Linked DNA regions of Saccharomyces cerevisiae S288C. The gene in region 2 interacts genetically with the main gene of each other region. Each region holds a gene or a part of one and is shown on either strand. Other genes may lie near its edges. The genes, in order: YOR105W and AFG1.

What was found.
Region 1: mutations in AFG1 (region 2) and YOR105W together harm fitness more than expected from each alone (negative genetic interaction), as found in Saccharomyces cerevisiae (one large-scale study listed by BioGRID).

What each region holds. Positions count from the first base shown.
Region 1 is NC_001147.6:516,405-519,356, reverse strand, and holds YOR105W (uncharacterized protein), read right to left. Parts: upstream 1,163-2,952; coding exon 836-1,162; downstream 1-835. Other genes in the region: SNAP receptor VAM3, read right to left, coding at 1-236; PIN2 (Pin2p), read right to left, coding at 867-1,715; OST2 (dolichyl-diphosphooligosaccharide-protein glycotransferase), read left to right, coding at 2,516-2,908.
Region 2 is NC_001137.3:54,654-58,730, forward strand, and holds AFG1 (Afg1p), read left to right. Parts: upstream 1-1,917; coding exon 1,918-3,447; downstream 3,448-4,077. Other genes in the region: MAK10 (Mak10p), read right to left, coding at 1-1,449; VMA8 (H(+)-transporting V1 sector ATPase subunit D), read left to right, coding at 3,725-4,077.

The DNA.
Region 1 (2,952 bases), on a different chromosome or scaffold from region 2:
ATTTTATCCCTTACACTGGTGCAGTTCGGTATTAACTCTGTTTCAATTTTGTATCTTAGTTCTTTGGAGTCCCGTTTGGAACCAATTTTGGTGCATTCCTTTTCCAGCACGCGGGATTGTTCAGCGAATGTCTCAATTAAATTGCTTAATTCCTTCGTTTTTTGATTTGTTGAGAATTGTGGTTCTTGCTGGGAGTTACCCTTTGAAGATTGTGCTTCGATGTCGAAAAAGGACATAATCTCAACTTTCTGCAGTGGATATTAGTTGGCCAATTTGTTAATGCTGATCCCGTGGTTTTTTATTGTTCTATTTTCCTTCCTTTAATCTCCTGGCTGCTTTCTTTACATCAAAATCAAAATTCACTACAAAAATGTATATAGAGTTTTTACTGCGCATCTCGCGAAAAAAAAAGTTGTGATGTGAAACTCGAATATGAGGCTGAACGAATATTATCATTTGATTATAATAAGTATTGACTTGTATGATCTTAGTTTTGCTCTTCCTGTGTCCTCGTCAGCACCTAGGTAAACTATATGTTACAAATAGATCACTTTTATCCTGAGGAAAACAACCTAATTTATTGTACATACTAACTGACCAAGAGGAAGTTCACCATTGACTGCCCTTATTTGCATTTTAAAAGTTGCGGTTTCTGGTGTTACCTGTTAGAAGGCACCTTTTTAGCAACCGGTACAAGGAAAAACTCGTTGGAAGATTTTTTTTTACTTTCCTTTCCGTAAACGCAAGCTCACAGTTATTCCTGAAGAAATTCCTAATTGGTTCTTGCAAAATCTACCAATGAATCCTCTTGATCTTAAAATGTCTGACTGATTATTCAAAAGAAGGGGGAATATATATTTACCTCATTAGTAATATCTATCGCTTTGGTTTGGTTTATATCCCTGATATGATTGATAATTTTCGGTTGGATATGGACTTCTATGATTAGAGGAGGGAGTATTGTAACTGTTTCCCTGGAGGTTATTATTGATGTTATTATTATCGTAATAATAGTTCTCGCCATAATCGCTGATGTCAAAAATTGGAGATTGTGAAGCAACATGAGCGTTGTTGCTACCAGTATTGGCCGCATTTTGGATAAACGAATTTCTAGCATCATATTGCGGCTGAGGGCTGCTACCTTCGAAATTTTCTTCTTCATACACTAGAGGGGCCACCCTACTAGGGCTGCGTCCTTCTTTATTTCTTTCCTTCTGTTGTTTTTTCCTTGTTTTCTCTTTTTGTTTTTCCAAATCGAAATCTTCCTCTAATTCATACACCTCATTACTGGGAGTTTTGACTTCGTCGTAAAATGTATCATTCTTCGCATCGTTTCTATAATACGCACTTTCAGGTTGTTGAATAGGCTGATAAATCACAGTAGAAGGAGGAGCCACGCCCATATTAACTCTACTAAAACCCTCATTTACCGGCATTGTATTGTTTCCATTTCTGTCATTAGAACAACGACAACACCAACAAATGAACTGACCTATTCCTGTTACCCCTTGCCTGAAACATGTCAGTAAGCCCCCAATCAACCAAATCACAAGAATACAGGCCAAAACAATACCAACAATCGCAATAATTTTACATGCTTTATTGTCCATGCAGGTGTCCCAGCTTCGGAAACTTTTTCCTGTACTTACTACACCATCTGTAAAGGACGATCTCGGAAATAGTGGTACTATTTCTTTCAACTTGCAAACGTTCATTACTGTGTATACGCTTGGGAGTCTTTGATTATATTTCTAGTATTTTCTTGAAACGGTTATTTTGCTAAAAATAAACAAGATAAAAAAAATCTAAAAAGTCACGACCGGGGGTGGTTATTCTTGATCTAAGTAGCAAATATGTAATATATTTGAAACTTTCTTGCGCCCCTTTAATTTTGAAGTTCTTCTAGGCTTTTATCCAGTTCTAGAGTAGAAGTTGCGGTTCCAGTAGATCTTGAAGCTTTTTCGAGATGCATCATTTATATTTTTCCCCATTTGGTTATAAGAGAAGAGGCATTTTCCTACAACGAAAAATAAGCATAAAAAGGGCCACGTTCGTAGCAAAAAAAAGCTAAGACTGATACTTTGTAGCAAGAAACTGAATGAAAAACTGGGATTTTCATTTTAATTATTTACAGTAAAAGAATTTATCAAAGCTGTTTCATTTGGGCAGCGCAACGGGGACTTTTTTACCAGCCATTAAGACTTAGATGACGAAAAAAACACGCGTATACGCCAGCCAATTGAGGATCCTAACCAATTCATCACACTGGAAATAACGAGTCGATAGAAGCTTGTTGGTTCTATTTGGCGAGTACTTGGTCCTCTGCTATTTGCACTTGTGTCGTAAGTGCAATGATTGGGTGTATATCGCTATTAGAAAAAATCCCGGTGAGGGCAAAAATAGAGAATAACGTGTTTTAAAGGATGAAAAAGATACAATAGAATCTGCGTGAACGCTATACTTCATAACGCTATCACACAACAAAAAGAATTGTAACGAGGAATACATGACTAATATGGCAAAAGCACCAAAGGCAAACACACCAAAAGTAACCAGCACGTCATCTGCAGTCTTAACAGATTTTCAAGAAACTTTCAAGACTTCTAAGAGGGCATATTTTGCCCAAATTGAAAAATATCCTAAACTGAAACTAATTGATACATTCTGCTTCTTTTTGGTATTATTAGGGGTGATCCAGTGTACATTCATTATCTTGATCCGTGATAATTTTCCATTCAATGCGTTTTTAGCGGGATTCATTATTTGTGTGGGACAATTCGTCCTATTGATGAGTTTGCGGTTACAATTGTGTAATAGTTTTCCAGGCATTTCTAAAAACAGAGCTTTTGCCGAGTTTATTGTTGCTAGTTTGATTTTACATTTCGTTTGTTTACATTTTATAAATTGAGGAAGGGTTTGCCGGCGTGCTTGCATGCATGCTTGTATGTGTAT
Region 2 (4,077 bases):
ATCTTTCAAAAAGGTTTCTAAGTGGTGACTTAAATAATAAACATACCAAAACATAGAGTATGCTTCAAAGGGTTTGTAAATATCCAAATCAAACCCCTTTAAAGAGAATTCGATCATACTTGATAGTTTCATAAAATATGTCCACGAACAGTAAACTTGTGAATTGACACTTTCAAACTGGGCTTGAAGAGAATCCCATAGAATAAGTTGCCTGTTAAAACCTTGTCTATATCTACATGTGTTTTGGGAGCAGTTTTGGTACCATTCTAAAAGCATATTAGAGCTTTCTTGGATAAGTTCATTACCAATAGAGGATTCAAATTCAGATGGAGTTTGTGCTGAAAACTCCTTGACATGTAGCAAATAAAATTGGGTATATGAAAATTTACCCAAAACTGTTCTGTCGTCTCTAATGAAAAATAAGGGGAATAAGATCCTTGCAATGACATGCCTTTGTTCCAACTTGTTGAAGAATTTGGCAAACTGGTAGGTCTCCAACGCAGACTCGGCTTTATCTACAAGGAGTATTGTTTTAACATCATTTGCCAGTGTAATAAAGCCGCTGTAATCCGTCGGTAACTTCGTAATCTTCCTGGGAGGGAATTGATTAGACCTGTGCTTTTGTATATATGTTGAGAACGCACCCTTTGGTGGAGACAGCTGTAATTGTGGAAATATGCCATTAACCGAGTTAGCGTTTTCAATTAGCTCATCCAGGTGGCTTGTCTTTGTGGAATAGTCTGTCAGATGGTCTTCTAAGTGGACTAAGCAAATGATAATTTTTAGTATATGCTTCAGCATAGTTAAATGTAAGCTATCATCAGAATATGCCTCTAATATCTGAAGGCTCTCGGTGAGAGAATTGATAACAACATCTTGCCCCGGCAAATTATCGAATGTATTAAACCCCATGTTATTAAAATTTAAATCCTCCTCTTCAAAAACAATACCAGCACTCAAGAGTTTCTGCACAAATTTTGTTAAATAACAAACGCCAAGTATGCAACTTCCTAGTACTTTATCATACAAAATATTCCCTGTACACCAGGACGAACCGGCAGTTGTTCCCTTAACTAATGACGATAATAAGCTTTCTGTATACCTGCAGCTTAATACAGTAGTGGGTAAAGTCTGGTAGTCATTCAGCCAGGAGATAACACATCTAAGTAATCTATCCGCTATGGCTGCTACACTTGCCAACGGTGGATCGTAGGCCACGTTCACATCAAATTCTATTTCTTCTGCTGTCAATTCTATCAGACTGGAGTCTAATTTGGAGTTGTTGACCTCTAAAGAATGTGTACCCTCGAACAAATCAAACCTGGGATCTTTCACGATAGCCTCTGGTTTTAGTTTTGAACACAATTCATCAAACAGACTTGTGACGTCAACCAATTGGTCAAAATCATCAGTTATGCTCAAGGAACCTAATATACTGTCTACTTCCATTCTCGGAAACGTACCAGCTATTATCAAAGTTGCTCTACACTAGCACAGTTGTTTTCAATCTCAGCGCCACTCTTCTTGCTATTGAAGAGCTGCTATTTTACTTGTATCTCTTCGTGAAATTTCACTCCATCTCATAATTATTACCCGAAAACATAACAATGTGAAATAATCGTATTATGTAAAGGTTAGATAATATAACAACTACTAGATAATACAGTACTCTTATTCATTTATTTAGGCACCTGATTCCACTATTACCTATTCAATAGGTGTGCCGAGTTCCTTTGTCTTACGTAATTTTACACATCTTTTATGGGTCATATTTCGATATGTAAGGTAATAACGGGAATCTCCGGATTTACTTTAAAGTGGGAGGGAGAAGTTCCTTTCTTCTGATTTGCGGGTGCTCCGAAAGAACAAAGAATAAATAGGTAAAGCAGTGAAACATAGTATTTGCTGGTTAAAATCATGATCGCTTTGAAGCCCAATGCTGTTCGAACCTTCCGACAAGTGCAGCATTGCAGCTTTCGCATTTGTCGGTATCAATCTACGAAGTCAAATAAGTGTCTGACGCCCTTGCAAGAGTACGACAGACTGGTGAAGTTGGGGAAGCTACGGGATGATACATATCAGCGTGGTATCATCTCTTCCTTAGGGGATTTGTATGATTCACTGGTTAAATATGTACCTCCGGTTGTCAAGACACCCAATGCTGTCGACCAAGTTGGCGGTTGGTTGAATGGTCTTAAATCCGTATTTAGCCGTGGCAAACCTAAGAACATTGGGGCGTATGTGGATGTATCCAAAATTGGTAACTCGATACCTCGAGGAGTTTACCTATATGGAGATGTTGGCTGCGGAAAGACAATGTTGATGGACCTTTTTTATACTACAATTCCCAATCATTTAACAAAAAAGAGAATACATTTTCACCAGTTTATGCAATATGTTCACAAAAGGTCGCATGAAATTGTTAGAGAGCAAAATTTGAAAGAACTAGGTGATGCAAAAGGAAAAGAGATCGATACGGTTCCATTTTTGGCCGCAGAGATTGCAAATAATTCGCATGTTCTTTGTTTTGACGAGTTTCAAGTCACTGACGTGGCAGATGCAATGATATTGAGAAGGCTGATGACTGCCTTACTATCCGATGATTATGGTGTCGTACTTTTCGCAACCTCGAATAGACATCCAGATGAGTTGTATATCAACGGTGTTCAAAGACAATCATTTATTCCTTGTATTGAACTGATAAAGCATAGAACTAAGGTTATCTTCTTGAATTCGCCAACAGATTACCGTAAGATTCCAAGACCTGTGTCCTCAGTTTACTATTTCCCATCCGATACGAGCATAAAATACGCATCAAAGGAATGTAAAACCCGTCGAGAAACTCATATTAAGGAATGGTATAACTATTTCGCACAGGCTTCCCACACCGATGATTCCACTGATTCACACACGGTGCATAAGACATTTTATGATTATCCATTAACTATTTGGGGGAGAGAGTTCAAAGTCCCTAAGTGTACCCCACCTCGAGTCGCGCAGTTTACTTTCAAGCAGTTGTGTGGTGAGCCTTTGGCCGCAGGAGATTACTTGACGTTGGCAAAAAATTTTGAAGCCTTTATAGTGACCGATATTCCATATTTGTCCATTTACGTTCGTGATGAAGTGAGAAGATTTATTACATTTTTAGATGCTGTATATGACAGTGGCGGGAAACTGGCCACTACGGGTGCAGCGGATTTTTCTTCCTTGTTTGTGGAACCTGAACAGATACTTAATGATTTTGAGTTACGCCCAACAACCAAAGAACCTGATAGCGTCGATACTGGTATGGTAGATGAGATGGTTGAGAAACACGGTTTTTCGAAAGAGATTGCCAAGAAATCGCAGATGTTTGCTCTTGATGAAGAAAGATTTGCCTTTGCCCGTGCCTTAAGCAGGCTGTCACAGATGAGCTCCACCGATTGGGTTACTAAGCCTACATACTAAACCCTATGTAACAAAAGTGTTTATTTATATTCTTGTATTTATTCTAAACACGAACTTTGATCGTCTAACAATTGCCGCAGTTACACCTTTAACAATAGTGCTTTTTATTACTGATATTACTCACCTGATTTTTTGTTACCCGAATGCAAATTTGATTAGGAACGGGGATTGTTAAAAGACAATGGCAGTACAGATAAAGGTTAGATGAAGCAGCAGTAGAATAAATCAGCATCTGTAGTACATAGGTTCCTAACAGCATTGTGAAAAAGGTTCAAAAATGTCTGGTAATAGAGAGCAAGTCTTTCCTACGCGTATGACGCTGGGTTTGATGAAGACCAAGTTAAAAGGTGCCAACCAAGGTTATTCTTTACTAAAGCGTAAGTCTGAAGCCCTAACAAAGAGATTCAGAGATATTACCAAAAGAATTGATGATGCTAAGCAAAAGATGGGGAGAGTTATGCAAACTGCTGCCTTTTCCTTGGCCGAAGTTTCCTATGCAACAGGTGAAAACATTGGCTATCAAGTGCAAGAAAGTGTCTCTACTGCAAGATTCAAAGTGAGAGCACGTCAAGAAAACGTTAGTGGTGTGTATTTGTCTCAATTTGAGTCCTACATCGACCCTGAAATTAA